2 linked regions of the Cricetulus griseus genome follow. Each later gene encodes a partner of the first gene's protein in a complex. Links are inferred from orthologs where the notes say so. Each region holds a gene or a part of one and is shown on either strand. Other genes may lie near its edges.

What was found.
Region 2: the proteins of Klb (region 1) and Fgf19 are in contact, whole or in part, in a crystal structure (PDB 6NFJ), measured with the Homo sapiens proteins. The link is inferred for Cricetulus griseus from reciprocal best matches to the Homo sapiens genes KLB and FGF19. Residues at the interface, in NP_783864.1 of Homo sapiens: Phe379, Lys380, Val392, Leu394, Trp419, Phe420, Thr421, Asp422, Val425, Thr431, Tyr434, Met435, Asn438, Tyr643, Glu693, Arg696, His743, Asn824, Phe826, Met832, Gln848, Phe849, Leu850, Gln851, Ile853, Leu862, Phe931, Phe942; in NP_005108.1 of Homo sapiens: Leu192, Thr194, Asp195, Ser196, Met197, Pro199, Phe200, Leu202, Val203, Thr204, Ser211, Pro212, Ser213.

Annotation. Positions count from the first base shown.
Region 1 is NW_023276807.1:132,410,020-132,426,044, reverse strand, and holds the end of Klb (beta-klotho), read right to left. Parts: intron 12,803-16,025; coding exon 12,534-12,802; intron 9,329-12,533; coding exon 8,185-9,328; intron 7,387-8,184; coding exon 7,001-7,386; downstream 1-7,000. Other genes in the region: Rpl9 (60S ribosomal protein L9), read left to right, coding at 121-216, 955-1,087, 1,380-1,460, 1,778-1,884.
Region 2 is NC_048596.1:56,432,800-56,449,401, forward strand, and holds Fgf19 (fibroblast growth factor 19), read right to left. Parts: upstream 11,060-16,602; coding exon 10,807-11,059; intron 10,631-10,806; coding exon 10,527-10,630; intron 8,021-10,526; coding exon 7,730-8,020; downstream 1-7,729. UniProt on the Homo sapiens protein: Involved in the suppression of bile acid biosynthesis through down-regulation of CYP7A1 expression, following positive regulation of the JNK and ERK1/2 cascades. Stimulates glucose uptake in adipocytes. Activity requires the presence of KLB and FGFR4.

The sequences.
Region 1 (16,025 bases):
TCCTTTATGAAACCCTGTGCCTGTGATACACAGTGTTTTGGTCATTTGTAGATGGCTTTGAATGCTCTGGTGGTAACCAGCTAAAAACTATGTTAATTCTGGGGTCTCATTCTATTACAGCTCCGGGTAGACAAATGGTGGGGTAACAGAAAAGAACTGGCCACTGTCCGGACCATCTGCAGTCATGTTCAGAACATGATCAAGGGAGTCACACTGGTAAGACAGCCAGTCAGGCTGCTTTTTAGCCCTTTGGAAGCGGTTTCTTGAGTGTATCTTGTATGTGCAAACGTCTAGTACCCGACAGTTTTGTTGTTTTTTTTTTTATTTGTGGGAAAGGAACATACCACGGATCGAGCCTAGGAATTTGCTCTCAAACCATGCTTTGAGAATATTTTTTCTTAATAAATATAATCTGCTGTAGTATAAATTTGATTGTTGATTGGTATGGATAGAAAAGGTCTGATCTCTAAATGTCTGATGTCATCAGTTGGGCATCCTTTTTGATAAGTTAATTCTGAAGTGGTTTTTACCCTGTGCATTAAAAAGTTATGTAACTTTTGGCTCACCCTTCCTGTTGCTCCCATGGTTTCTTTTTATTTTGCTTGGTGATGAGAAGTTTATGGTCGGGTGTGCCTGGTAGCTCAGTAAATCTAGTGCCAAGGATGAGGGTCTTGGGCTCACTGAAAGAAGCAAGCCAGGCTAAGACAGTAAAACAAGCAAATGCTTCCTCCAGGGTTGTTACTGCCTAAAAAGGCAGTTGTTTCTTTGAAGTGAATATTAGCTGTGTGAGACTTGTTGCAGGTCACGGGGGTGAGGGGGGGGCAGGTACGGTGTGCTGAGATCAGGCTCTGGTGGCAAACAACTGTTATCCTAGGGTCCACTGAAGGAGTCTCAGATTGTGGGCCAGCCTGAACTGAAAATGTTTTGAGATTGTTCAATATTTATTTCCTGCAGGGCTTCCGCTACAAGATGAGGTCTGTGTATGCTCACTTCCCCATCAACGTTGTTATTCAGGAGAACGGGTCTTTGGTTGAAATCCGAAATTTCTTGGGTGAAAAATACATCCGCAGGGTTCGGATGAGAACAGGTATGTGTGTTACTTTCAGGAATGATTGGCTGCTACAGTTCATTTTCCTGGAGTCTTAGAGTACTGGTGTTTATGGTGAAGGTTATTTCAGAACTGTGTTTTGGTAATTCCGCTAGCTTGAGATTGATGCCATTTTGTGTGTGTGCTGGGAATTGAATCTATCAGATCTGTAATCACATACAGTATGTTCAGAAGTCCAGCCCTAAAGTTGATGGGTTGTGTGGAGTTTTAAATGAAATTGTATTTTTGTACAGATCTCATGTTAATGCTATTGAATACACACCCTTTTCAGGTGTTGCTTGTTCTGTTTCTCAAGCCCAAAAGGATGAATTAATCCTTGAAGGAAATGATATTGAACTTGTTTCAAATTCAGGTATGTATGCATGTCTTGATTCTGAGAGGTCAAACATTGTTCCAAATTTGTGCTGTATATACTATACTTTGTATCATGAATACACGTTGGAGTATATGCAGTTCTAAGTGATGGGTAGCATGTGGCTGGCTTTGTTGGGAACTGTTTTTGTGTTTATATTAGGGTATGTATGTAGCTGTGCTCAGTTGAGAACTAAGGGCAGTGAAGGGGTCTCCTTACATCCTGTAGGCTCCAGGGATTGGGCTCCAGATGTTAGTTAAGCTTGTGGACGTGTTTGGCTAGTGAAATAATGGCTTTATTTGCTTCTTCCTATATAGCGGCTCTGATTCAGCAAGCCACAACAGTTAAAAACAAAGATATCAGGAAGTTTTTGGATGGTATCTATGTGTCTGAAAAGGGAACAGTGCAGCAGGCTGATGAGTAAGACCTAAGGTAGGTTCGTGTATCTGCAGTTGACTACTTTAGATGGCGTTTGTTATACTAAAAATTATTAAATCAGTACTTGCCTGTATAGTGTATCATAGGTGAATTTGTTTTACTCTATATAATTACAATATAGGTGAACTTAACTTTCTGGGCAGGAATATTAATAAAAGTTTACATGTATTTTGTTTTTACAGTTAACCAGTTCCAGAAACAAGATCCTGAATTAAGTACGATTTGGTGTGTCTTTTGGGACAATAAAGACTTGTATTGATTTGGTGTGTCTTTTCTGATTGATTACTTAGCAGATAGGTCAACTGCTACTCCAAGGAGCACAACAGGTTTTTTTCCTTCCTGTAAACAAGTGACTTAAAAGAATAACAAGAGATTTCAAGAACAGGAGTGTAGTACCAATGACAGGCAATCGTCCCCGTGCGGGTTCAATTGGCGTGGTACTTTGGGATGAACCTAGAGGTGTTGTGACTTTGGCACAGTCATCATAATGACTATTTGGTGTGCAGATTGTCTCAGTGGGGACTAAAAAATGTAAATGTAAAATCATGGTCATTCTGTTCTCAATATTATCATGGTTGTAGTTCTACCTCTGAAGAGGTTGATGTGGGGGGGATCAGGTTGGGGCTCAGTAGATTATGAATGAAACAATGAACTTGGGGTTACTTTGGAACACTGGGGGTGGTAGGGTTGCAGGCTTTGAATATAATGTTCTAGACTTAATAGTAATCTGTATTTTGTGTGAATTCCCTATCCGCCTGGTGGTGAAGAGTGAACCCAGCAAACACTGAGGATTGTCCCCAGACCTTTAGTTTCTTTGACAAGTTTGCTCTATTACGGCTTCAAACTCATAATCCTCATTCCTCCACCTATTGGGTGCTAGCATGGCAGGCAAGTACCAACACAGCTAGTTTTTTATTCTTCATGTGTGCACATGTACGTGCAATTGCTGTCTTTGTCTATTACCTTTTCACTTTGTGTTTAAGGTAGTGTTTGTCTTCCCCAGTGCTAGGGTACAGGTAATGCCCAATTGAACTATGCTTGTGTGTGAGAGAGAGAATATATTCATTCATGTTTCCAGAGGTGTCAGTTCCCCTGGAGCTACATTATTCTGTAGGCCCTAGTCAGTGTTTTGAGATAGGGAACTCTTGGCTGTGGTTGTCTCAAACTCAGAGATCACTTTAATCCCAAGTGTTGGGATTAAAGGTGTGCAGCATCATGTCTAACTATCACAAAGGCCAGGTTATAGCTCAGCTGGCTAAGTGTTTTCCCCCTATTGAAGCCCCTGCATATATATATATATATGTGGTGTGTGCCGGTCTGTGATCCTAACCTTACAGGGGTGGAAACAGGCTAAGAGCTTCAAAACCAGTTTCAGCTACTTATGAACTAACTATTCACCTCCAGCCAGATTGTTGAATATAAATGATTGGCATCAACCACATTGGTATAGCACTGAAGGGTAAAACATTTAGGCACGGTACTCTCCTCATTTCCCAGACAAACACCAGTTAAGACAATGAATTTGTAAAATGATACATCGTTTTTTGCAGCTACTCCATTGGGTTAAGAATGTTCTCAGTATTAGCGTTGCTAGGCAAGTACAAAGTCCCACTGAGCCATATCCCTAACCTGTGTTTGGAGACTTAAATTTAGTATCACTAGAACGTGACCTAATTTTTATATGATCATTTAAAATGGGTGACTGCACACATAATCCCATGACCCTCAAGTGTGGCAGCATTAGGCTACGAACTATACATTTGGTGAACTTGGCAAGTTTGGGAAGGAGGAAGGAAGGAAATGTTTTATTTGGGTGTGTGGTGGTACATCCCTGTGACTTGTGCAGTGGAGTTGAGGCAGGAGGATGAAGACTCTTGGAGGTTATCCTGAGGTAATGTTTAAGGTCAGCTTGGACAGCATGAGACCTGTCAAAAAACAGTAGTGATGTTAACGGAGTTGGAAACCATGCTGAGGCAGGAGGATCACTGCCAGTTTGAGGCCAACTTAAATATAATGAAACCCAGTCAAACAAAAAACCTTAAGTGTTATTGAATTGAGGGTTGATTCCAAGTTCTTTGTTTCTCCTATTGCTTGCATATTTTTTGAGGTTACAGATAAGACAGGGTTTCTCTGAAATCTCCCCAGCTGTCCTGGAAACTACTTTGTAGACCAGGGTGGCCTCAAATGGTGATCCAACTGCCTCTGCCTCCTGAGTGCTGGGATTAAAAGTGTGTGCCACCAGTGTCCAGCTGTTACAAATTTTAGATGCAGGGAATGAGGTGATAAAAGTTAAAAAAAAAAAAAAAAAACTTACCAAAGTTTTTCTGGAGTGAATTCAAACTTGTGTGACTTAAACCCAAGTAGGGCTGTAGAGAAATCTCAGTTAAGAGCACTGTGGCTCTTACAGAGGAGTTGGGTTATTCCCAGCACATATATGGGGCTCATAACCATTTTAACTCCAGTTGTATGAGATCTAGTGTATTCTGATTTCCAAAGATACCAGGTGCACATCCATACATGTATGCAGGCAAAATACTCAATTCTAGAAGTGTTTTACTTTTTTTTTTTTTTTTTAGTGATACATAGCTTTTCTATGTGGCTAACAATACAATTGTCCAGCCAACTACAATGGGTGTCATTAAGCATAGTTCTCAAAGAGATTCTTTGCAAAACCTACTTAAAAACTACTAAGTGGACAGGCAGGGGAAGTTCAAGGTCAGACTGGTCTGTATAGTGAACTCCAGGCCAGCCAGGGCTATGCAGTGAGACCCTGTCTCAAAAAAACCCGGTCTTAAGAACTAAATTTTTGATAGACAACTCTGTTTATAAGCATTTGCTGTTCTTACAGAGGACCCAGGTTTGGCTTCCATCACCCATATGTTGGTTCATATCCATCTCTGATGCCTCTTCTGGCTTCCAAGGACACCAGGCAAACAAGTGGTGCATACATGCATGCAGGCAAAACATCCGTACACAAGAAACCTAAGACAGGCAGGGTGGTGGTTGTGGGAACCAGAAGCAGAAAAGCAGAAATCTGTTATTTAACTAGTCCAATAGCAGTTTTATTTCTCATGGCTTTTGCACGTGCTGTCTCTATGATTTTTGAAAATTAGTGATTATAAGAATCATAATTTTGGGGGTTGGAGAGATGGCTCAGAGGTTAAGAGCACTGATTGCTCTTCTATAGGTTCAATTCCCAGCAACCACATGGTAGCTCACAACCATCCGTTATGAGATCTGGTGCCCTCTTCTGGTGTGCAGATATATATGGAAGCACAATGTTACATAATAAATAAAAAAAAAAGAATCATAATTTTGCTTTGGGAGGTAGTGGCACACACCTTTAAACCCAGCACTTTTAGGAGGCAGAGGCAGGTGGGTCTCTTGAGTTTGAGGCCAGCCTGGTCTACAGAGTGAGTTCCAGGACAGTCAGGGACAAATAACAATAGGTAGATCTGATGTACAATTAAAAATCATGGTACATTTTAGGATGGCTTATTACTAAGGCTCTTTGTGAAAGAGCTACTTTTCTTTGAATCCCAAGCATAAATTCTGGAGAGGGTTTGCAGTTACTGGGTAACGTGGCTATTTACATGTTTACTTGAAAGAATGGATGTGAATGGGTACACATTCAAGTTATCCCTAGTGTTTGTGATCAAATCAAGCATGGTTTCTTAAATATAAAATATCCAAATTGAAATTTACTTAGTGCTAGCCTTAAAAAGCAAAATTAAATTAGGTCATTCAAATTGACATGCTGGATTCATCAGAATCATGGTGCATGAGACAGTTAGGAAGCTCTAGGGAACAAAGCAGGAATCTATGAATAATGGTAAAGTCTTTGACCTTTACCTATTGTAAAATCTACATCTTTTTAACTTTCCTGAGTGTGACAGATCTTCTCACCTTGAAATCAGGGGAATAGATGTGATGCCAGTTTATTTTAAAATGGAAATCGCCGTGCTGTAAGGGTTAATGGACCTGATCTTGACAAGACACTTGGGTCTAGTTGTCCATCCTGTGATCATTCCATGACATGAGTTATGAAAGCTACTTTTAAAATCAGAAGTCCAAGCTGGGTGTGGCGGGCACTTCCCTCCTTTAGTCCCAGCACTCAAGAGGCAGATGGATCTAAAGTTCAAGGGCATCCTTGTCTACAGAGTGAGTTCCAGGATTGTGAGAAATACACAGAAATACCCTGTCTTGAACCTTCCTCCTTCCCCACCAATCAGAAGTCCAGTAAGAGAGAGCTCACAAAATTGAATGTTTAGGAAATGCCTTGTAGCCAGGCGTTGGTGGCGCACGCCTTTAATCCCAGCACTTGGGAGGCAAAGGTAGGTGAATCTCTGTGAGTTTAAGGCCATGCTAGGCTCCAAAGCTACACAGAGAAACCCTGTCTTGAAAAACCAAAAAAAAAAAAAAAAAAAAGAAAAAGAAAAAGAAAAAAAAAAGAAACGCCTTGTGTTTTGTTGAGAAAAGCTAGGATTAGTGTGTTTTAGATCCTGTGTTTTTAACTGCCTATGGACAAGCATGATCTAAAGTCTTGTTATATATTTTACATTCCTAATGACCTCCTGACCTAAACAGAAGAGCACCTTGTTAGAAGTGACAGCATATGTGACTACTGTCCAGTTTAAAGGATAGTTTTAGCTGGGTGTGGTGGTGTACACATTAATCCCAGTACTCAGAAGGCTGAAGCAGGTGGGATCTTAGAGTTCCAGGACAGCCAGAGTGACATAATAGACCCTGTCTCAAAAATAACAACAAAATAGTTTTAAACTATGAAATCTAAACCAACAGAATTTCACTTTTAAAGATGAATTCCTTTACTACGAATTGCTATTTACAGAAGAGAGCTAGAGTAAAATGACGTGAAACAGCACTTCACACTTCCTGAAGCCATGTCCCCAGAATTACTGACAGGATGAAGCCTTCAGCTCTAAGAACTGAATTAATTCACTGATTGTCAATACCTAAGGGAATGATTTGAACCACTGCAAAGGCATTGATTGTCATCGCCTTGGTTGCAGATGTCTCTCACATTATAAGTTACCAGTATATGGAACTGGAGTGAACCTTTAAACTATGACATAAATGATAGTTTAGCTAAGAACTCTACTGTGGCCTTCCTTCAATGGTATATTTTCTAAGTTCTTTGATTTATGAAATCTTCTCTTTCGATGATGAAAAATGGTGATTGACAGCAGTACAGCCAGAGTGGAGATGAAGCAACAACCAAAGAAGATCAGAGATTTCTTCTGAGTGAAAAATGAGCAGATGGTGCAGTCTGTGTCTTCTGGAGGCTGACCACATGCGGGATTGCTAGTCTCAGAGGGGAAGCCACTTCTGCTGATCAACTTGCTATAAAACTCTACAGATGACTTAGCTTTGAAGTCAGATGTGAAAAATCCAAATCTAGGCTTAGATTTCTCTTCAGTCAGTTTGAATGCATAATAGCCTTTGATTTTGACTTTGTCAATGAGGTATGCTAAGAAAAAAAAAACAGAAAAGAACATCGGTGATCACAAATGGACAGGAAACTATCTTTGAAAAGAATTTAGTTTTTGCCAGGCAGTGTCACACGCCTTTATTCCCAGCACTCTGGAAGCAGAGGCAGGTGGATCTCTGTGAATTCAAGGCCAGCCTGGTCTACAGAGCAAGTTCCAGGATAGCCCCCAAAGCTACAGAGAAACTATTTCAAAAAAAAAAAAAAAAGAATTTATCTTTCAGAGCTAATTGTGCTTTTCTTGGGAAGTGAGATTTCAGGTGTTATTTAGGAAAAAATGTTTTCCAAGTTTTCTGTAATGAGTTTATGCCACTTTATAAAAGTTCAGATGTGGTGGTTTAGGCTTGTAATCCTACCACTTGGAAGGCTGAGGCAGAAAGATAGGGATCAGCCTAGTGTTGGAGGCCATCCTGGGTGATTAGATAGACCCTGTCTAAAAAAACAACAAAAAACACATTAATGAATACCGGGAGATAGTGGCGCATGCCTTTAATTCGAGCACTCAGTAGGTAGAAGCAGGTGAATCTCTTGAGTTCAAGGCCAGCCTGATCTACATAGTGGGTTCAAAGACTCAGGACTAAAGAGACTCTGTCTCTCAAAAAAACATAGTTTTTTTGTTTTTTTTTTTTGTTTTTTGTTTTCATAAGGAGGAGATCCAACGGATAGGAGGCGGTCAGGAGCCACAGATCTGAGTTGCCGGTGATCTTCGTGCCCAGCTTTTCATTGCTGTCAGTTCCATATACCTCCCCCACCTCACTGTGTGAGCTCCCCAAACCTCACCTTTCAGAGCCTCCTGGATGTACTTCTCCAAGTAGTACTTTCGGATCCCATCATTCTCCAGAGCCAGATCATCGATGCCATTGGCTGTGATGTAGATGTCCATGTCCCCATAGTTCCTCTGGATCCACCCAAGCAGCTTGCGTGCTCCCCAGGGCATAACAGCCAGGCGGCTGGGCGAGCTCAGGCGGGTGATGTCCTGCAGGAACTGGACGTCCCTGTCTGCCATAGAGCGGCTGCTGTTGAGCTGTTTGTGTATCACGAACCTAGTAGTGAAGTGGTTCAGTGCGTAGAAGTCGATGGTGCCCTTCACCAGCCTGCTCTCCTCTGGGGTGAAGCGCGGCAGGACTGAGCGGGACAGCCCTTGCTGGTTCTTGGAGGCGATGTACTCCTTCATGGCCAGTGGATAGTCGCCAGTCTTGAAGAGCGGATCAGCGAACCAGGCGATCTCAAACAGGAGGAAGCGCTCCGCTGCCTTCCAGTGTGAGTCCACATAGGGGTTGGCAGGTTCCACCCAGTCAGAATGTAGGGACAGCGACACAGCTCCATGCTGGACTGGCCTATACTGCCTGTCGTAGAGACGCCAGACCTGGGCATGGGCAATCATCAGGTTATGGGCTGCACGGTAGGTGTCATTACTCGTGCGGTTGTACATGTCACTCAGCCTATTAGGCTCATTGATGGTGATCCAGAGCTTCACCAAGTCCCCTAGTTCCTGGAAGCACAGTCCTGCGTAGTCCTGGAAGGCCTTGGCGGTGTAAGTGTTTAGCCATCCCCCACTGTTAAGAAGCGGCTCAGGGAGGCCTAGATGGGAGTGGGTGGGGTGGTACAACGTCACCATGGGAGAGACGCCCAGCTTCAGTCCTTCGCTCACCACACACCTATAGTACCTTAGTACTTGTCTATTAACTTCAGACAGATTGCCAGTGGGAAGGATGGTGGCCCAGTCCAGAGCAAACTGGTAGTGGGTGACTTTCATTTTGGCCAACATCTCAACTCGTTTTTTGATGCTAACATAGTCTGTGCAGTGGGATGGTTTTGTTTTTAGCCTTACTCCTTCTACTCGCTGTAGCAATCTGTTGCCAGTGGCATTCCACACATACAGGTGAGGGTCGGTAAACTGTGGGGAGGAAACCATAAACTCCGGCTGTGGGAAACAAGAGCATTCAGGTAAATCAAGTGTGGCTCCTAGCATATCCAAGCCCCTCAGATCAGAAGAATTGAGCCTCACGAAGCCTCTCACTACAAGATAAAAAACTTTGTCCTTCATAATGGGCTCTGTGTTCTGGCTGTTCTGTTAGCAATATGGGAGAAAGGGCCTTATCCTAGTCCTTGAAATCTCCAGGGAGACCAGGAAACACAGGGAAGGAAGCACACAGGGGAGAGGAAGAACAGCTGTTTGAGAAAAGCCTAAGAGGCTATTTTCCAGTTCATTTGACCTACAAATCCAGGTTATATGGCATCTTCTGTGACGGTGTTCAAATGCATCAGGAAATTGGCTTGGTGCCCTCAGTCAAAGGCAGTTATGAAAGATGGATTCTAAGTCCTGTCATAAGTTGATGTCAAAGGTAAAATTGAAGTTGTAAAGGAGTCGCTGAGAGCAGCACTTGCATTCAGAGGAGGCTGGTTAAGCCAGACCATTCCTGAAAGATGTGCTCTTGCTTGTGCTGGCCACAGCTCTCAGCAATTCTTGTTTGAAAAGTTCAGGTGATAGCCCACAGTGGTGGTCATGTCTATAATCCCAGTTCTCAAGTGGCTGAAGCAGGAGGATTACTACCAGTTGGAGACCAGCCTATATAGCAGAGACTACAAGATAAAATAAATAACTTTGTCTTTCATAATGGTTTCTGTGTTCTGGATATTCTGTTCATAATATGGGAGAAAGAGCCTTATCCTTCTAGCCCTTAAATTTTTTTTTAAGGAAGAAAGGTACAAGGATGTCCCATTTTCACACAGCACTCACTCAACAGCAGAGTATGGAACATTGCCCTATGCAAAGCACTTCAGTAATGAGGGGGGAAGACAATGAAATAACCTCAGATCTCCCTGCCTTTCCACCTGGAGAGTCATGAGTCATGGACTTTTCTGTCTTACTTTTCCTGTGTGTGTGTGTGTGTGTGTGTGTGTGTGTGTGTGTGTGGTGTGTGTGTGTGTGTGTGTGTTGGGGGAGGGGTGGCTCATACAGCCCAGGGCCAGCCTTAAACCTAGTAAGTACCAGCCAGGTGGTGGTGTTCCATGCCTTTAATCCAGCACTCGGGAGGCAGAGGCAGAGGCAGAGGCAGAGGCAGAGGCAGAGGAAGGTGGATCTCTGTGAGTTCGAGACAAGCTGGTCTACAAGAGCTAGTTCCAGAACAGCCTCCAAAAACCTAGTAAGTACCTGAGGATGACCTGGAGCTCCTACTTCTCTTTTCTCCACTTCCCAAGTGCTGGGCATACAGCCATATGCCACCACAGCTAGCCAATGTGATGCTACAGATCAAACCCAGAGACCTGTTCATGCTAGAGAGGCACTGTGACAACTTAGTTATACCCTCAGCCCGGAATTTTCCTCTTTGAGCTTGGGCTGCACAATCATATGGGGATGGTCCTGTGTCACCCACTTCCCAGGTGCACTGTGAGGTCTAGATAGATGCCCTGGGAAGGAGGAGTCTCAACTGGAAACCATCGTACAAAGATAAGGTGACTTGGGTTTAGTTCCAGGACAACCAGGGCTACACAAAGAAACCCTGCTCAAAAAACTAATAAAATAAAACAAAAGATGTAAGAAAAAAATTTCAAATTCAAGATTAATTAGAGCAAGGAAAAATTCTTGTGTTAAATTACCTTCCCCCTGTGGCTGAATTTAAATAACCCAGGAAAATTGATAATTAACCCTTGGCAAATATTTTCCTTCTAATTGTTTTCTCATGTGTCATCCTTCATAGTCTAATTACAAAGCCATATGATTGCCCACTTGCCATCTGCCAACCAGTTATCTAGAACATTAAACTGAGAGAGCTTTGGTCACGTGAGAGTGACATTCAATCTGTGTATAATGAATTACCTGAGCAGTCTTCCCAGACCAGGCCAGCTCCCATGTTCTGAAAAGTTCAGAACATCCCAGTATTGTTAAAGAGATGTTTATAAAAGGTCATCTTGCCACAAAACAAGGCAAGATCAAACAAAATGCATTGCACTTTACAGACCCCCAGGAAACGCTAGCTGTAGACAATGCATGTGGTTATCTGCTGAGAGACCACATAAAGATGATGCATGGAGAAGAGTGCCAGTAGGAGGGTAGGACATGTAATGTGGAGGCGAACATGACCAAAGTGCATTTTGTGTACATGTGAAGAGGTGATATTGAAACACATTAGTTCATATAATTAACATATGCCAATAAAAACCAGGGGATTCAGGCTAGGAAGATGGCTCAGTGGATGAAGCCTAGAAACCTGAGTTCAAGCCCTCGTACCCATATGAAGATAGAGGAAAAGCTGTAACTCCACAAATTTGTCCTCTAACCTCCACAGGCGCCACAATACGAACTGTGGTGGTTTGAAAGCAAATGATCCCCAAAAGGAGTAGCCCTATTAAGAGTGTGGCCTTGTTGGAGGAAGTGTGTCACTGTGAGGTCAGGCTTTGAGGTCTTTTTCTTTCTTTTCTTTTTTTCTTTTGGTTTTTCCAGACAGGGTTTCTCTGTGGCTTTGGAGGCTGTCCTAGTACTAGCTCTTATAGACCAGGCTGGTCTGGAACTCACAGAGATCTGCCTGCCTCTGCCTCCCAAGTGCTGGGATTAAAGGCATGTGCCACCACTGCCCAGCTTGAGGTCTTTTTCTCAAGCTTCACTCAATGTGACCTTCCTGTTGCCTGCAAGTTGTAGTACTTTCAGCTCCAGCACCAAGTTTGCCTGCATGCTGCCACGCTCCCTGTCATGATGATAATGAACTGAACCTCTGAAACTGTAAGTGAGCCCCTCAATTAAATGTTTTCTTTATAAGAGTTGCTGTGGTCATAGTGTCATAACAATGAAAACCTTAAGTAAGACATGCACCATATTACATATACAATTATATGTAATAAAGTTTTTAAAAATCGCAGCTCAGGGTTGGAGAGAGAGAGAGAGAGAGAGAAAGAGAGAGAGAGAGAGAGAGAGAACACTGACTAGTATTCTAGTATTTCAGAGCATCTACATGGATGTTCATAATTATCTGCATCTCCAGTCCTAGAAGATTCAGTGCCTCTTCTGGCCTCTATGGGTACCAGGCACACAGACATATATGCAAGCAAAACATCCAAACACATAACATTTGTGGAAACATACTGTACACCCTCTCCCCTAGCGTGTGGTTTATTTAGAAGTTGTCACTCACCTTAAGAACAGACTCGGTGACCCCCCAGGAGAAGTCACAGGGAAACTGACCCTGCATGTCTGGCGTGGACTCTTTCAAAGGGAAACCATTTTCTTGTATGATCTGTTTGTAGTAATGTGCCGAGGTCTTGGGTTTCCTTTCTTTCTGTTCACTATTAAAGTCCACATAAAACAGTCCTCGGCGAGACGTGTAGGCATACTGCCATTCAAAGCCATCCAGGAGAGACCAGGCCGTGTAACCAAACACTCGTATTTCATCAAACTGTATTGCTGCATGAAGAAAAGGTAGCAGGGATGTTCAGAGGGCTAAACATTATAGTTCATGTTTACAGCTACATTAACAATATGCCAAGGCGTGGCACATTACAAAAGGAGCATTTTCTCTAAATATCAGGCCTTTTAAATCAAACCAAAAAAATTGTTGGTTTGGGGCCAGAAAAATGGCTGTTAGTAAAGGTACCTGCTACAAAGCTTGACAACTTAAGTCGAAGCCCTGCATGGTGGGGGGAGAGAACTAAGTAAGTCCTGAAGGTTGTTCTCTGATTTCCACCTGCACCTCCCCACACAAAATAAACACTTCCCACACAAGTGAATGACAGGTAAAGAATCATATTAAAAACATTCCTGACAATTAAAATTTTTAACCATGTTGTTTAGCAGGATATAACGGTACATGCCTTTAATCTCAACACTCAAGAAGCAGAGGTGGGCAGATCTGTGAGTCCACGGTTAACTTGGTCTACATATTGAGTTACAGGTCACCCAGCTACATAGTAAGACCCTGTCTCATTTTTTTTTCTTGGTTTTTTCAAGACAGGGTTTCTCTGTGGCTTTGGAGGCTGTCCTAGAACTAGCTCTTGTAGACCAGGCTGGTCTCGAACTCACAGAGATCTGCCTGCCTCTGCCTCCCAAGTGCTGGGATTAAAGGCATGTGCCACCAACACCCGACCCCTGTCTCATATTTTTACAAAAAGGGGGTATGTTATTTTGTGTGCAAATCTGTGTCCTGGGGCATTGGGGCATGGTGGCTTCAGAGCCTTTGGGGATGTGGATGTTTACTAGTGACCTAGAGTTTCTCATTCCGAGTTTGGGCCGGTTCCTGCTTGTGCACAACTGTCCATTCTGTGAAATTGTCCTTCAGGAACTGAAATACCAGCTCTCAGGAAGAGCATAAGAGAATGTAGACAGGAGGCTTGGAAAGCAGAGTAGTAGTGTGAGAAGTGGCTGAGCTGAAGGGCAGCAGGCCCAAAGCCAGGTCCTGCTGTGTGGCCAGGAGGGAGCCATTGGGCAAGTTTTGGAACGGCAATTTCCTCATTTGCAAACAGAAAATAGTGGAAAAGATAAGGACCTTTGTAGCTTTAAAACTCTGAATGGGTAAAAATGAGATAAGGAGCCTTTAATTCCATCATGCAGGAGGCACAGGCAGGTGGATCTCTATGAGTTCAAGGCCAGCCTGGTCTATAAATAAAAACTGAAATTAGCCCCGAATCATTTTTATAATTTTTAAATTATTTTTGCTATATTTCACCTGTAGTAGTGTTTTTGCCTGCATAACTATCTGTTAGCTACCTATGTGTGTGTATCCCACGGATGCCAGAATAGGGCACCGAATCCTCTGGAATAGAGTTAAAACAGTTGTGAGCTGCCATGTGGGTGCTGGGAATTGAACCCAGGATCCTTTGTAAGAGCAGCCTCTGAGCCATCTCCTCAACCCCCCTTCAATCATTTTTTCTAAAAACAAAACAAAACCACCCCCCCAAATGAACCTTTCATTTATCACAGAAATGCCTCATTTCTGCATTCTGGGGCCTTATTGTTGACATTATTTTTTTCTAAAAGGTAGGAAATCCCTTTTTGAAAGAAAATAGAAAACCATGACAAATGATTCCAAAAAGACAAATGTATTTCAACAAGCCACAGCTCTGGCCCCATGGTGGTGTGGCGTTATTGAGGGAGGGTAGAATAGACACCCCTTCTGCCCAAGTGCATGGCACTTGAATCAGGGTGCCTGTAGGTAGTGTCCTATGAAGCCCGCCATGTTCATGTGGCCCCGGGCTGGGTGTGGCTGTGTTCCATGCTGTTCTTTCTTGCACAGTGGGGCAGTGAGACCAGGAGGAACTTGCTCTTTTTTATTCCTCCTCTTTTTTTTTTTTTTTTTAAAAAAGACTTGTTTATTTATTTTACATATATCAGTGTTCTATTTGCATGTACACCTTTATGCCAGAAGAGGGCATCAGATCCCACTATTGATGGTTGTGAGCCACCGTGGTTGCTGGGAATTGAACTCAGGTCCTCTGGAAGAACAGCCAGTATTCTTAACCATTCAGCCATCTCTCCAGCCCTAGGCCTTGCTCTTCCTGATAACCCTTCCTGAAGCCTCTTTCCTGCAGGAGCTGGGATTTCTCTCCATACTTAGGACTTCTGTTTTGTTTTGCTTTTGTTTTTTGAGACAGGGTTTCTCTGTGTCTGTGGAGGCTGTCCTGGAACGAGCTCTTGTAGACCAGGCTGGTCTCGAACTCACAGAGATCCACCTGCCTCTGCCTTCCGAGTGCTAGGATTAAAGGCATGCACCACCAATGCCTGGCCAGGACTTTTTTTTTTTAAAGATTTTATTTATTTATTATGTACACAACATTCTGCTTCCATGTATATCTGCACACCGGAAGAGGGCACCAGGTCTCATAACGGATGGTTGTGAGCCACCATGTAGGTTGCTGGGAATTGAACTCAGGACCTCTAGAAGAGCAGCCACTGCTCTTAACCTCTGAGCCATCTCTCCAGCCCCCAGGACTTATTTTTTAAGCTATACTTTATTTATGTCTTGTGGTGGGAGACAGGAGTGGGGGTGGGGAAGCGGGGGGGGGTAGGGTGGGGGATTAGGGGTGGTCAAGTGCGAGTGTGGTGCATGTGTGTGGGTGAATGCATGCTTTAGTGCATGTGTGAGGACAGCTTGTTGAAGTCACTTCTCTCTTTACACCATATGAGTCCCAGTATTGAACTCAGGTCTACCTTGGTGGGCAAGTCCCTTTGCTGACTGAGTCACCTCACCAGTCCTGCACCCAGATGTTTATGTGGGTACAGGGGTTCAAATTCAGGTCCTCCTGTTTGCATAGCAGGTACTTTGCCCACTTAGCTGTCCCTAGCTCTGATACTTAAGACTTCAAAAGAGAGCTGTGAAGCTGGAGAAAGAGCCACAGGAAGTATATTCTGGTAGAATGGAGCCCGAACGGGGACACAACTTGAGTTCTTTGGCCTCATCATTTCCATTGGCCTGTAAGGTGACACTGCCTGAGTAGTGAATGAGGTGACATTTAGGTAGGAAAAAATCTCCAAGAGAGGAGAAATGACCCAGCTTTGTTTTTTAGAGCTTTCATTGTTAAAATATGTCAACTTAAAAGGATCTTGCCGATAAAAGCAGATAAAAGCAATCTGGCCAGATTGCTCAGTGGTTAAGAGCACTGACTGCTCTTCCAGAGGACCTGGGTTCAAATCC
Region 2 (16,602 bases), on another chromosome or scaffold:
GGATTCTTTTTCCCTTTTTTGCTAGCTTTAAGTTTTTTCTTTTTAAATGTATTTGGAGTGGAGGGGTTGGAATCCCGTGGTATGTATGTGGAGGTCAGAGTGAAAGGTGATTGGCTCTACACCTCTTTAAGAGACAGACCCTGCCCCCTGACAAGTCAGGGCATCACCACGTCACCCATGAGGACTCTGCTCTGGGCATGCATGGAACCTCAGTGCGCATGCGCAGTCTTCCCTTTAAAGCTCCAACTAACTCTGCTTTCATTCTCTTCCCTGCTTCTCTTCTTTCCCACTCTCTGTTTCTTTTCTTCTCTGTATGGTGACCGACCATGGCGGTCAGCCATTACCCTGTTCCTCTTCTTAGTCTCCCCATTCTGCCAGGCCTTATAATAAACTTATAGTCAATATGTCTCATGTCTCAGCATTTCTCTTTTCTTCTTTTTAAACAAAACAATAACACAGAAGACAACTTGATACAGTGTATTCACATACTCCACCATGCTGTGGGGCCCATGAATCCAACTCAAGTTATCAGGGTTGGTGGCTAGTGCCTTAACTGAGCTATCTCCTCTGAGACCCTTGTTTGCTTGCCTTTTGAGACAGGGTCTTTTGGGTTTTTTCGAGACAGGGTTTCTCTGTGACTTTGGAGGCTGTCCTGGAACTCACTCTGTAGACCAGGCTGGTCTTGAACTCACAGAAATCCTCCTGCCTCTGCCTCCCAAATGCTGGGATTAAAGGCATGAGCCACCATGCCTGACTTACAGTAAATTCTTGACGATTATCACTATGGCGGTATGAAGGGACTGAACACTCTAGCTGCCTGTGGGCTCCGCCACAAAGCTGGGCCTTCCAGAACCTCTGAGCATTGTCTGAAGCTGTGGGCGAGTAGAAGCGGTCGCCACCGTAGATCAAACTGCTCTAAGTTTGATCTACTCTAAGAGTGTCATGCAACCGTTGAATTCGTCTCGGGTCCCCTCACAGATGCAGTTCCTAACCCCATGCATATTGGGGCATTGGACGTTGCAGGACGCGCCCACAGATCCTGCTCTTCAGACTGGTGCTGCGAGTTCCGTGAACGACCACCAGGGGTTGCGCTTGCGCTTCGAAAGCTGCGCCACTAGCGCATGACTATTAAGGACCGTACAGGAGTCAGGACTTACTCTTAGACTGAGAAAGGACAAGGCCGGTGTCACTCAGGACACACCCTGAGTGGGACGCCTGGGCCGGCACAACTGGACACTCAGCCAGCACCGACACACTGGGGTCCCTCTCAGCCTTTAAGTTCAGAGCACTTGAGCATTCCCATGAAAATGTCCAAACTGGTCTTTGCTGGCCACTGCAGGGTGCGCCCCCCACTTCTTTACCCCGCCTCCAGCTCCTTGACCACTCTAGGCCTCCACCTTCCCACCTGGGAAATGGGAGGTTGGATGCATTTTAGTGTCTGCTAGGACTGCCAGAACAACAGCTCACGGAGAAATTTGCTAGATAGTAGTGTGATTCTGAGACCAGGGATTCCTGAGGTCAAGGTGATCAGGGTTGGCCCCTGAAGCCTGTGCCCTGCACACACAAGCCTCCTCACAGCCCTACCCAGAAGACCTTGGGTCATTTTAATTTATGTATGTATATATGTATTTCATATATATTTCATATTTATATATCATTGGTGCTTTGCCTCCATGAATGTCTGTGTGAGGGTGTCGGAAACCTTGAAATTAAGAGTTACAGACAGGTGTGAACTGCCATGTGGTTGCTGGGAATTGAACGTGGGTCCTCTGGAAGAGCAGCTAGTGCTCTCAACCGCTGAGCCGTCTCTCCAATCCCTGTTTTTGTTTTTTGAGTCAAGGTCTCACTATGTAACCCTGGTTGTCCTAGAACTCACTAAGCAGTCCTGACAGGCATCCTCCTTCCTCTGCATCCCGAGTCCTGGAATTAAAGGCATGCGTCACTACACCAGAACAAGTTTTGTTTTGTTTTTAACAGGCTCTCATTATGTGGTCCTGGATGGCCTGGAAGTCACTATATGGTTATATAGATCAGAACAGGCTAGCCTCAAACCTCAAACCTAGCTCCACCTACCCTAAACCTCTGCCTCCTGAGTGCTGGTATCGTGTGTGTGTGTGTGTGTGTGTGTGTGTGTGTGTGTGTGTGTGTTTAACGTGTACGCATGTGGGTGTGGAGGCCTGAGGCTGATGTTGGGAACCTCCAATATTCTTCCACTTAGTCCTTCGAGGCAGTCTCTCACTTAAACCCTGAGCTCACCTATATGGCTAGCCTCCCTAACTGGCTTGCTGTGGGGAGCCTCTATCTCTGTCCTCAGAGACTGGAATTACATGTGGGTGCTACCCATACCCCAGTTATGTGGGTACTGAGTTCCAGTCTTCATGCCTCTGACAAGTGCCATCCCCAGGCCTCTCTTTTTTTCAGGTCATGTGGATTCCATTTTCTTCCTCCTCATGTTCCTTTAAGATCTCTTCCTCTCCTTTCATGACTCCCTGTCTAGTCTTGTGACACACAGACACATACACTCATATAAGTATATACACGAAACTTTTCTTATTTTTTTTTTTTTTTTTTTTGAGACAGGGTTTCTCTGTGGCTTTGAAGGCTGTCCTGGAGCTAGCTCTTGTAGACCAGGCTGGTCTCGAACTCAGAGATCCGCCTGGCTCTGCCTTCCAAGTGCTGGCTTTTCTTATTTTTTAAAAGATTTTTTAAAATTATACGTATGGATGTTTTGTTTGCATGAATGTAGGTACACCACATGCATGCAGTGCCTGAAGATACCAAAAGTGGTTGTAAGATCCCCTAGAACAGGAGTTACAGTTGTGAGCTACCCTGTGGGTCCTGAGAAACAAACCTGGATCCTCTTCAAGAGCAACCAGTGCTCTTAACTGTTGAGCAGTCTCTCCAGATTCCACATATATACATTTAAATCTGGATTCTGTGTATAAGAGATAACACGCAATGTTTGCTTTTGAGTCTGGCTTTGTTTTTAAGCATTTTATGTATTTATTTTGTGTGCATACAAACATATGGAAGTCAGAGGCCAACTTCCAGGAATCACCTCTCTTCTTCTACCATGTGGGATCCAGGGACAGAACTCAGTTGTCTGGCTTGTTGGCAAGTCCCTTTACTCGCTGAGCCCTATTGCTGGCCAGAGTCTGTCTTATTTCATTTAACATGATTATCCTGAGGCACATGCCTCAGGCAAATTTTTACCTGTTTTTTTCTGTTTTTTAGAAGACCCCTTGATGTAACTCAGAGCTTCTTGCTTGCTCAGCTTGTAGTCCACCACAGAGCCTGCCCACTCTGTTTCTTATGCCTTCTTTTGCCAATGATCTCTGTACTGGGTGGGTGGGTGGGTGTGATGTATATTTGTGCCCATCCTTTCATGTATCTGCTCCTCCTACTTCATGGCACACTCTGAGACACTCTGAGTGTACCTATGAGGCCGGGCAGTCACCACGAGAGATTAGCCTCAAACCTCTGTGATTCCACATAGCTGCCTGAGGTTTGCTCTCCAGATGGACACAGTTCCTGTTTCCACTGCAGGTCTTGGGGTTCTACTCCACATGGTCATACAGGAACCCAGAGGTGGGTGGCAGACGCAGGATAGCCAGCCATTGCAACCTCCAGGAGGTGGGTGTGAAGAGAACATGTTTGGGGCAAGGGCTGGAACTCACAGTTCAGATGCAAGCATGTACAGGCTCATGAGGCCCTGGATTCCATCTCCAGTCCAGACAACATCAAAACACAGGTTGCCAGGCATGGTGGTGCATAGAGGCAGAGGCAAGAGGATCTCAGTGAATTTGAGGACAGCCAGGGCTGACACAGAGAGGCCCTGCCTCAGAAAATAAATAAACAAATAAACAGGTAAATAAACAAATAAATAACATTAAAGTAAACCTTTTTTTTTTTTAAGTTTGAATCCAGACATGGTGTCTCAGGTAATCCCAGTGTGGGAAAATGAGGCAGGAGGATTACAGTCAGTTCTAGGATACACAGCAAGTTCCAGGTCAACTTGGGTTACATAGTGAAACCCTATCTCAATTTCCATCCTACTCCAAAAAAAAGGTATCTTTTTACTACTGGTTTCTCCTGCTGGGCATCAAACACAGCTCATGTACACTGTCTGCAGACCCTGTCCTTTGGTTCATGCTTTCTTCCGTGGGAGCCCTGGGTGGGGGGTGGGGGTGGGGGCAAGTAAGCAAGCATGAAGTAGTAGAAGCTGGGAGGAAGGAAAGGAGAGAAGGAGGGAGGGAAGGAGGAAGGGAGGGAGGGAGGGAGGGAGGGAGAGAGGGAGGGAATGATACAAAATTGCCTGGTGGCACACAGCTGTAGTCCCAACACTGAGAAGGCTGAGACAGGGTCTCAATACATATCTCTGGCTCTCCCAGGGCCACATAATGAGACCCTGCCTCAGAAAAAACGACAATAGACACAAGCCAAGGAGTATGAGCATACACAACAGGAATGCTTGACAATGATGAAATCTCTTGAAACAAATGGAAATGTGAGAAACCTCTGTGAAGAAATGGTCATAAAACAAAACACCAAGATGCTGGGCAGTGGTGGAGCCCCCTTTACTCCCAGCACTCCCAGCACTTGGGAGGCAGGAGCGGGTGGATCTCTGTGAGTTTGAGGTCAGCCTGATCTACTGAGATAGCTCCAGAATAGCTGGGACAACACAGAGAAACTCTATTTTGAAAAATCAGAAATAAACAAAAGCACCAAGTGGAAGGTGCAGCAGACCCAACAGACAATGCCTGTCACTGCCACCAAGTCCCTATCACATAGCCTTCACTGCAGGGGAGGGGAGCCCAAGTCTGAGCAAGAAAAAAACATAAACTCAGTTTCCCTAATGTCTGTGTACAATGCAGATCCCTTTCATGGTCTCTCACTTCCACCAGGTGACTGCAGCAGGGACAACCCCCCACACACACATCAGTTCTGCCACATCTGCCCAGGGCAGCAGCAGCAGATTTTGCTGGTGAAACACCCCACCCCCAACTCAGCACTCCTACTAGGCTTTGGCCCCACCTAATACAAGTTTGATGTCCAACCATGACCCCTCTTCCTTGATTTCCACTAATTTGGTCTACCAACCAACAGACTGTGTGTTTTATTATGATTTTTTAAAGACAGGGTCTCAATTCGTGTGTATCTCTGACGATCCTGGAACTCACTATGTAGATCAGGTTAGCTGCAAACTCACAGACCTCTGCTTGCATCTGCTTCCCAAGGGCTAGGACTAGAGGCGTGCACCACCTGTGCTCAGAGAAGTGCAGATACAGGGAGTCAGGGTGTAGAGAAGGTTCCGTGCTTCCCAGACCTCCCAGATACTGCCTGAGCTACAAATTCAGAAACTTCCAGAAGTTTCTCTGAGCCAGGTGCTAAAGGTTGGTACGGAGACCTCATAGAATACGCATGATGGATCAGCTCAGCCACCTTGGTATTTGTGATCAGGTCAACATCAGTCCCTGGCCTCCCTTATTCAGGGAGGATAAGGCTCCTCCAGGCTTGGAGGGTGAGGGATTCCAGCTCAGGAAGGCCATTAGCAAACCAAAAGAAACATCTTGTTACCGGGATATCAGAAGCTGTCTGGCAGGAAATGGGGCCCAGGATTAAATACGTAGCTCAGCAGTGTCACAGCCAGGGGCAGTTCCATCTCTGGCTCCTATTCCCCCTTTCTCCTTTCTGGTCCTTGGAAGATTTTTCTAGAGTCAGTTTGTAATCTAGAAGAGGTAAATCAGAGCTGGGTGGTGACTGCACGGCTTAGAGAGGCTAAAAGTCTGAGTCCTTTGTTTCCCATGGGGAGGCCACTCACCTCTGCTTCTTTCTGAGTTCCTAGGGGGCAACTAATGGCAAAGACCTCAGAGCTGCCCCATCAGAGCCACCCTGCTCCTGCCCCTCCTCCAGAAGTCAGAATTGACTCTAACAGCCATTGTTGTTGAGCCCACCAGCTGAATGCACATGGCCGCACTGCCCTCTCCCTGTCACCCTGTCCTGCTTCCTTAATCCATTTGACAAGAGCACCAGCATCACGCTTGCTTTCCCAGCCTAGCTGCTGGGGGGCAGTGAATATCTGGCCCTCTGGTAAAGCCCTGGTTCCTAGATGGCAGAAGAATTTGACAAAAAGTTTAAGCAAGCTTTGACTTTCCCAGTGAGGTAGACAAGACAGGCATCAGGACCTGGGCAAAATGCCAGTTTCCCTCTGCCCTTCATATTGAACATAAAGAATCTGATTCTTGTGACATCCTCACTTTCCAAGACATTTTTTTTCTTTTTTTTGGTAACTGAGTACAGTGGCACATGCCTCTAATCCCAGCACTAGGGAGGCAAAGGCAGGTAGATTTGTGAGATAGAGGCCAGCTTGGACTACTTAGCAAGTTCCAGGACAACCAGAGCTGTATAATGGAGAAACCTTGTCTCATAAAGACCAAAAAATAAAAAGGGGGATGGTAACTTTTCAACAAGCCTCTCCCCACCCCACCAAACAGTGTATCCCCAAATAACAAAAGCCGACGGTGGGGCTGTCTGGCTTAAGCTATTGTGTCCTCCTGGTCTGATCTGTTGGTTGGGTATGAGGGGTCTGAGAGGCCAGAAATGGAGCCACCCATTGCCAACAAAGGCATGATGTCCCCTGTCTAGGATAGGGCGGTCGCCCCTCCCGTAGCTCTTTTCTGCCTCATTTGCATCCCACTCGAAACAGAATAATTTTTGATACAAACCAACTCCTTTTTAATGTAGAAAACAAATATCATGTACATAAATATGATCTGGGGCATAAATAAAGTTAAGAAAATAAGAGACATATACAAAATAAATTACTTATAAATATCACACTGCCAAGTAAGTGCTGCAGAAAGGACTCCACATCTCCCCTGCAGTCACTGAAAAATTTAGGGTTTCCTAATCTTGTTGTTCATTTGCAAATGAGGGGTGCAGGTTGATACAGGCAGCGGGGGAACATACTGATCCACATAATGCTTGATGAATAGGGACAAGAGTCAGGAGCTGGGGGCAAGAGGGCACAGGTAGATGGCCCATGAGCTCTATGCTCTGGGGTTGGAGAGCCTAGGGTGAGCTCTGAGAAGGGGTGTGACCTGGGCAGATCTGGAGGCTCATGACCAAGACAAGCTGCTGAGATACAAGTGGCAGTTTAGTTACCCACTCAGCTGAGAAGTCCACTCTTGTGCCTAGATGTCCATTTGACATCTAGAGGTGGGGGAAAGGGGAATTAAGTGGTCAGCTGGAACTTTTAATCCCAAAACCATCCTGCAAGGCTCCCAAGGTTTTCCTGGCTGCCCTTTGCTCCAAGTTTGTGATCGCCCCATCAGTTTTAGCCAGGAGGCAACTGGGGGCAAGTAGAGACCCCACGAGGTTCACTCAGTCAACACATAGTTCAGAGCCCACCCCCTGCACATGAATTTTAAATGACTTCACATCTTCTGGCTGGCCTAGAGATCGAGAAACATTTCATAGGAATGACTTCCCCGTTAGCGGAGGTATTCAAACAGAACTGGAGTAACCTGACCACAGATCAGCAGCTGCCTAAGTCAGTAGGGCTCAGATGTCAGCTAGGCAGGTGATCAGTTTAGGTTCACGATCCAGTCTAGCCACTAAAACCACACATGGTCAATATAAGACTTAAAATATGTACAGCTTCTAGCGCATCTTCCTAAAGGGGAAGTTCATGGGACACTGGGGTGTTCTTCATCCTGTCAGAACCCCATCACTTCTGGAAGCTGGGGCTCTTTATCTCCAAGTCCTCCGTTATCCTGAAAGGATCCATGCTGTCCGAAGCCAGCGACAGAGGCAACACTTTCGACTCCAGCTGGTCTCTGGGTTCCAAGAACCGGGCAAATATGGGGAGAAAGAGTGAGGGTTTTTTGTTCAGGAGATCTTGCCTGTATTTGTTCCTGAAGAGGACGACATAGAGGTGGTGATTCGGAGATTCGTACTTGTTGTAAGTTATATACTCCCATTTCTCATTGAAGGTACAGTCTTTCGGCGAGTAATGAGTCTTTGGAGAAAGAAACAAGCATATATGAGCATAAGCACTGTGGTGGTGTCCTGTCCCCACAGCCATCATAAGTGTTCTTTCCTTGAAGTACATGGAAAGCCAAGCATGGTGATGCTTACCTCTCATCCCATGGCTTGGGAGGCAGAGGCAAGAGATCAGGAATTCAAGGCCAACCCGTGTTGCATGAGACTGTCCCTGTTAGCTCACCCCACAAGTATTCTAGCACTTTCTCTTTAGACAGTCTTACTACATGTAGCCCTGGCTGGCCTGGAACTCATAATGTAGACCAGGTTGGCCTTGAACTCAAAGATTCACCTGCCTCTGCCTCCTGAGTATGGGATTAAAAGCATCCCAACTATGTCAGGCCTGGGTTTTCATTTTGAAACAGTCTCAAGTACCCTATGCTGACCTTGAACTCCTGATTCTCCTGCCTTCACTTCCCAAGTGTTGGGATGACGAGTGAGCACCACGGTGCTGGGATTATGCAGTGCTCAGTTGAACCCAGAGCTTTGAGCATGCTAGGCAACCACCTCACCAGCTGAGCTCCATTCCCCAGCTCTGGTATGTTTTTGAAACAAGGTCTCACTCACTCTGTAGCCTTGACTTCACAGCAATCCTGCCTCAGTTTCCAGAGGGTTGGGCTGGTAGGTGTTTACCAATTATCTATCCCAGCCTTTGGCAGAGAAATCCCCAAGCAGCTACTGGCAGGGTGCAAGTCTCCCTGGCTTTTAACTAGTGACATTAAATTCTGATGGTTATTTCTCAGCTTTCTGAACTCTGCCCCCTGTTTAGGCAGTTTTTGGGTAGTAACTGCAGCCTTGCCTGGGGCAGGGAATAAAGCGAGAGTTCCTGTCTAGACCTGAAGCACTAGCTTTTCTAATGCTGAGGTGGTTGCGTGTCTCTTATTATTGTGAGTAGAGAAGCCCCCTCACAGGCAGCTTGCCAGGATCTGCCTGATAATCCGCAGCCCTTCCCCCACGCCCAGGACCAAGCCCCGACCCTGTGGGTGGCCGGAAATGTTTGCTGCAGGAAGCTGTCCCTGGTCCCCATCCTCTTAATACCAGAACATTCCTAGTCCCCAGGACTGAGGTACCAGTGGCAGTCTCCCAAACTGGTGCCACATCCCTTTGGGAAGCCTGGATGGTTCGGTAAACACAAGCCGCCTGCTGAGGTCGCTGAGCTGCAGGTGGAAGAGCGATGGCAGATAAGGCTCTGATAACAGGCTAATTCCAAGAACCCACAGCTCCTGCCCTGGCTGATGGCACGGGATAGCCACCAGGCAGTAAGGGCCATGTTCCCTGAAAAATGTTAAGTGTAGATAAACACAGGATGTATTTCTCTTGGAGAATTCTTAGGGAGAATTGATCAGCCTTTCTTCATATAGGAATGATAGATTGTGGGGCTTCTATTTAAAAAAAAAAAAAAGTCAGGGAGAAGTTGTGATGGAACCATGCCCAATAGATAAGGGGCGGCACTGGAATTGAGGGGCAAAGCTCCCATGGGCATTCCCACCCCATTTAGATTAGGGTAGACGGGGGATCGAACCTTTCTCCTAGTGCCCTAGCCACAAATAAATATCTCAGGAGGACAGTGTGGTGGGAGATTTGTTCAGGGCTGGGGTATCAGTTTTCAGACAGGCAGTGGAACCCCTTCTTTGTAAACCGGCTTCTCTGCATACCCCTTTCTTTCTTTGTGATCTTTTCATGTAGCTAAATCCATCTCAAAGCCACAAAACAATTTTGAGACTCTTAAAGACAAAACAAAACAAAAATTTTGAGCCGGGTAGCCATCGTTCCCCATAGGGGACCTCCTAACCCCAGTCCCTGCTCCTCCCAGGAGCCCAGGGCTGTATGGGAGGCCTTGGCCAACAGACCTCACACGGCCTCCTCTTGTACTGCCAAAGGGAGGGCTGAAGGCTTCTTTGGACTCGCAGCTTTTGCTCCCACAGAGCCCTGGCCTTTGTATTTCCAGCCTCCCGGGTTTCAGGGGTTACCTTGACCTGACCAGCCCTCCCTAGCCCCATTGCCCTAGCTCCCAAGCAGGTGAGCCCCTTAAGGACATTCTAAAATATCCTAGTCCCTACATCACACCGTGTTCCTAGGACTTAGAAATTGACTAAAAGACACTTCCTTTCTTCTTTTTTTCTTTCATTTGAGGGAGAGAAAGGAAATCGAGGACCACACACGCAAAGGCTGGAGATGAAAATGGCAGAGGTGTGTTTTCCTGTTCAATATCAAAGGGGCCGAAAGCTGAATGGTACTCAGCAGCCAGCCGAGCCAGCCTTCCCGAGGATTAGACATGCTCCGCTGGGCTCGTCATTCCCGCCTACAGCCTGGGGCCATCGCTTTCCGAAGGGGGGTGGGCGGCGGCGGCTGTGGTAACATTAGTTTCACTAGCACTAGCTACCTTGCTCTCTTAAGTTCCCTGTAGGCCTGAGCAGGGGGTGTAAAGACCCAACACAGACCCAGCGCAGCTCCGAGCATCCCGCCTCGTGGGGAATACTCACCAGCCCCTGTATCTTGCCGTCCGCGCTCATGCAGAGGTACCGCACGCTGCTGACGTCCTTGATGACAATCGTCTTCACAGCGACCGCGCGGAACTCTAGCAAACCTGCGAACAAGAGAAGGAAGGAGATGCAGCTGAGACCCAGCAACACGTGGGTACGGCAGAACTACACTGTTCGCCCCTCCCCAGACCCAGTCTGAGAGTCCAGGGGATTTGTTAAGGCCACGGTAGCACGCACGCGAGCGTAAGGGACCCGAGGGGACGCGCTGGCAGACACTCACTTCGTTCGTTTTGTTCATCCTCGCAATCCACGGAGCCGTCGCTTCGGATATGCACGAAACAGTTGGAGATGTGGGGACCAGCAACGTACAGGTACTGCAGGCGGGTGCTCTTGCCCCAGCCGTAGAGAAAGAGTGGGTTTGCATTGGGCAGAGTCAGGGATCGCCGAACCAGAGGACGGCCAGCCACTGCCAGCCACAAAGTGGCCAGGACCAGGGCTCGGGCCATGGCACGCCCGTTCTGCGTTCTCCACATGGCACCTCCGGAGGGGTCGTGAGGCGCGGTTACAAAGGTGGCACGGAGACTGCGATGCAGCGGAGACGCGAATAGCAGGCAGAGTGTCTGCGGCCAACAAGGCAGCGGGCACTTGCAGCACGGTGCGCGCAGCACTGCTGCTCCGACGGTTCTATGGCTCCGGGCACGCCGCCTTATATACGTTTCGGGTAGGTGACCGTGGCATCAGAGCTTTTCTCCTCCTAATTGCATCAAGTCTCCGCCCCCTGCACACACCCTCTCAGGCCCAGCCCAGTGACCCCGCCCAGACCGGCCAGATCTACAGGAGGAGGAGCCCCCCACTCCCCTTCGCGATCGCGTCCCGGGGAGTAAGTGTTCAATGTGTATCAGCCTGGTGGTAATTGAATAGCCGGTTTTAATTTTACTATTAATTACTGAGGTCCCCGGCCCTGGGCTCTCAGAGGGATGCGCTTTGAACGGTCACTAGAGACTGCAAGGCACGCAGAGCTCTGCCTCCTTGGCCCCCAATTTGAGTCTCGGGTCCTCTCCCTTAGCTTTTCCTCGAAGATCCGACTCTCACACGTTCTCCTAGCCCCAGAACTAGGCCTCCTTTTCTTGGGTATTTGCCCTTGACAGTGGAGACGTCGTGGGAGCACTCGCGCGCACTAGGTGGCGCTTCAGCCCCAGTTTCGGCCTCCACAGCGCAGCGAGGGGCGCTCTGAGCGGACGTCCTCTGCCTGCCTTGTGGTCTCCACAAGGCTACCGTCACTGGGGCTGCGACTTTCGAGGAGGGTGGGCTGACCAACATGCAGAGGCAGGACAGGCCGCGGGTCTCCTCTTGTGCCTGTGATCAGGCCCCGGAGTCTGCGCGCGAGGGACAGCTGCCTACCGATGAGGAGGGGGCCTGCTAGGAGCAACGGTGGACTCTGCTGGCGGCACGTCAGGTGGGAGGAGAATAGGGGCCTCTCCATGAGCCTCTCTTGCAAAGAAAGGAGGCAGCCTGCAGAGAATTCCCCGGCCTTGAAGAAAGGGTCCTCGCAGGGGTCTTTGGCTCAGTCTTATCCTTTCTCATTATACCTTCAATTCCCCAACTCCTGGGTGTGGGGCCCCCGGGAGGCTGGTTTGGGGAAAGAGGTAGTGGCCTCGTTCAGTAGTGATGGGAGGTCCGTCTGCAGGGGCGGGACAGCAGAGAGATGGCAGGTCTGATGAATCTCAATGAGGAACACAACACATTCAGACGCCATCAGTGACTGGCGTTAATGACGGAGCGCTGGGAGAATGTCACCAGGAAAGCCTTTACAAAAATACATCATCGAAAGGTCTCTGGACCGGGGACTCCCATGCTGTGAGGCTTGGTTTAGAGAGCGGTGCCTCCTGTAAAATCTAATTACTTCCCCCTTGTGATTCTCAATCGACAGCGCAGACTATTAATCTTAATTGCCTTCTCCTGCGGCTTTCGTTTTAATGTCCGTGATAAATGTGGGGTACCGGGGAGGTTGGCGAGGCTTCACTGAGGAGTCCCCCCAAATTGGGCTGGAGGGTGGAATACGATTGGTAGTACCCCATTCCATTAGGCTCCCTTCTCAGAGACATCCGGAAGAGGTGGAGATGTTGGTAATGGAGTGTTCTGAGAAATGTCTGTAGGGTCCCCAGGGAACCCCATAAGAACATTCTGCCCCGTGCTGGGTTTTACTCCCATCTCTGAACAGGTGGAAAACGAGGCTCTGAAAAGTGTCAGGGTGCTGCACATCCATGAGAAGTGAAGATAGAACCTTGTGTGTGACAGGCAGGGTGGCCTGTCTCGGGGCTTGGGGGGATGGTGGCAGCAGATCCACAGCGGGCTACATGATGAACTCTGGGCCAGTCGCATCAGCCTGCTTCTGGGCTTGTCTTGTGGAGTGTATGGAAGAATGGGCATAGAGAACTCAGACCTTTTTTTTTTCATATATCAACAAGAGCTTGGGTTGTTCATGCAAAAGAATGAGAGTCGGTTATAACTGGCCTTCCTTAGTTCAGCAATGATTTGGAAGTAAAGGGTGAGTCCTGAATGAAACAGGCTTAAGGAGAATGAGGGGGTGTGCCCTGGCGATCCGGGTAACCACTCATAGATTTTGGCGGGTACCACCGGGAGAAAAAAAAAAGAGAAAGGGGGGAAAAGAGCTTTTGCCAGCAGGGGGCGCTGATGCCACCTTACAGACTCCTCTCCAGGTGAGAGAGGAGGGGGTGCCTGCCTTCTGTAGCTTTTGGGCTTGCAGATCTAGTTCCCGGACTTTCCAGTACCCTGTGTGGTGCTAAGACTGTGTTTCTAGATTGACATCTCACGGAGTCAGTGAGCAGGACTTCTGTGACCTCTGCTGTTTTCTCAGGGTCCACACAGATGCCCAGACGGCCAGAAGGGCTTAGCTTGGGGGTCCGTTGATTGAAAGAGAAAAAAAAAATAGTATTACTTATTCTTTGAAAGTTCCTTACTATTTTTTAAAATTATGTGTATGTGTGTCTGTCTGTCTGTGTGTGGGCATGTGCCAATAAGTGCAGATGCCCAGAAAGTGGGTGCTGGGCAGAGAATTCAGGCCCTCTGAAAAGTAGTACTCGTTCTTAGCCACTGAGCCACCCCTCCAGCCCCAGATCCATACAGTTGTGTTCATCATGTCCATCTACCACTATCCTCCCTTCAACTCCCTCTAGAACCCACCACAAAATCTCCCTCCCAGCTTAGTGCCCACTTTTTATTTATTTATTCATCTACTTATTTACTGTTGTTGTTTTGAGACAGGGCCTCTCTATGTAGTCCTGGCTATCCCAAAAATCACTATGAAGCCTAGGCTGGCATTCATCAAGGCAATCCTCCTGCCTCGGCTTATCATGTGCTGGGTTGACAGCCCTGAGTTGTCACAGCTGGCTTTATTATTTCTTTTAAAATTCAGTGTCAAACTTTGGAAAAGATGAGACAAAAGGCCAGTTCACAGTCAAAGGGGAAGACTGACCACCAATAGGGAAGAGGGTGATTGTAGGTCACTAGAATGTTCCGTATCATGAATGTGGGGCTAATATTTGTTTATACTCTCAAAGTTAGCTGGGTGGTGGTGGTGCACACCTTTAATCCCAGCACTGGGAAAGAAGAGACAGGTGTATCTCTGTGAGTTCCAGGCCACCCTGGTCTACAGAGCGAGTTCCAGGACAGCCAGGGGTATACAGAGAAACCCTGTCTTGAAAAAACAAAAGCAAAACAAAAACAAACAACCCCCCCCCAGAAAACCAAGCAAACAAAAAACCTCTTGGAATTGTGTTTTGAGGGGCTCACAAGATGACTTAGCAGATAAAGGTGCTTGCCCGGAAACCTGAATTCACTCCCCAGGATCCACAAGGTGAAACAAGAGAACTGACTACCAGGAGTTGTCTTCCAATATTCACTTATGCACCATGGCATGGGCCCTTGTGTGCTGTGCGTGCGAGTGTGCACGTGCACACCAGCACACACACACACACACACACACACACACACACACACACACGTAAATACCTATGCCCTTCAAATCAGGGTAGAGGGTGGAAATTGTGGTGTAGTTTCTAAATTTTACAGAGTGGGCTACATCTGAATTTTAAAGGTGTGTTGAGACACACTACAAAGAGTATGCCCAGTCAACTGTGTTCCAGGTGTGGCCAAAATGTTCCTATGCTTATCTCATCGTAGAAGTAGGTGTCACCTGGTGTTTCCAGGACTCTTTTCAGTTTGGAAAAAGAAACTTGTCAGAGGGTACATTTTATTTTAAATCATACCTTCAAAAATCTAAAGGGAGGAGCCGGGTGTTGGTGGTGCACGCCTTTAATCCCAGCCCTCGGGAGGCAGAGGCAGCGGATCTCTGTGAATTCCGAGACCAGCCTGGTCTACAAGAGCTAGTTCCAGGACAGCCTCCAAAGCCACAGAGAAACCCTGTTTCGAAACCCCCCGCCCCCCCCAAAAAAAAAATCTAAAGGGAGGATGACCCCCTGGGTGTCTTGGGACTGGCCCTTGACCCAGCTTCCCCATCCAGGAAATGCAAGAAGCCACTGTGCAGACGTTGTCTGCCCCTAGACTACAGGAGGCTGGGCTCACAGAGCAGGCAGACAGGCCCATCACAGGCTAATCTGACTGATCTGAGCTGGTGTAGGGACTCACAACACCTGCCAGCTATCCCTGGATTCACCACTAAGGGCTCCCATCACCACTGAGTTGTGATCAAGTGGGCTTCGTTCATGCTGGTCTGATTCCTGGCTTTCCATCAGGGTAGGACAGGGTGTGAGCAAATGCCCAGCTCAGGTTGTGCAGGGTACAAGTGGGGAGGTGAAATGAGGATCCAGTAGCCAGATGGACAAAGAAAGGGCTCCTCTGCTCCTTCTGTCGCTCCCTTTAGGCTGCATTTCTCTGGACTAGGCTGGCTGTCAATCATTTAGCTGGGGAGGAAGTACAGTCCTAGCCACAGCTGGGAGGCTGCTTCCTGAGGTTCAGTGCCCGGGTTGCCAGTGACCTGGGGCCTGTGTGGCTCTAACTTAATACAGTTCAGTCTCCAGTTCTGCCGGCAGAACTCTTGCTGGTGATGCTCCCAGGAGCCCAGCAGGATGGGTGGAGTCACTAGGGTAGAGTGCATCCCTGGGCAGAGCAAGCTCTCTATTTTCAGTGCCTGATTCCCACGCATTCTGTTTGTTTTAAGGATCTTTCTGGATGCTTCCTCATCAGACACTAAGAGTTACAGTCTCTGTCCTTCTTGAACTGGGGCCTGGTGACTTTGAGTGTGTTTATGCGACATCTCCAGGGATGCAGTGCTGTTCTGGCTCCTGCTCTGGGTTTGCTGTAACTATGACCACAGACACACTTGGTAGTATCTCAAGACCTCCAGAAGCCTCCAGAGTTCATACTAATGACCCTCCTGAAGGGCAGCATGATGTTTTTCCTATTCCAGAAGTTCCTGCCCAGCAATGATCAGCATCTGTGAGAAGGGCCTCAGCCATTTTAGGACATTGGTCACCTGGCAGCCCTTCTGGGGTGGCTGTTGATGCTTGGGGATGATTTCCCCATACTGGCCAGTTAGCAAGCAGCAGGGCTGGAATCCAAACACAAGGCCATTGTCTCTATGGACCCCTTCAAGAGTGGGGGACAAATGACCACTGACTAACAATGACTTTTACAGATATTGACCCCTCGTCGCACCCAAGACTGGAAGCCAGAGATCAAGACATGAGGCAGAACCAGGTGTGGGGTGCATGCCTTTCATCCCAACGACTCAAGATTGGCAAGGGACCAATCAGAAGTTAGCTGGTGGTGCTATGCTTTACGGAAAAGTGCACAGCAATGACGCACAGAGCATAGCAACCACCCTGGGAGGGCCTATGGGCCATAACAACCAGTTGACCAATCAAAACAGGGAAAACCCTCCACCAATCCTGAGCCTGTATGTACCCCTAGACACTCCCCTTACGCTGCCCTATGAGATCTTTATGCGGCCGCTTGGAGCTGTCTTTTCTAGCCATCCCCCATCGTGGATGGGTGAAAGGCCGGATCTAACATGGGGTTAGCTCGTTAAACAACT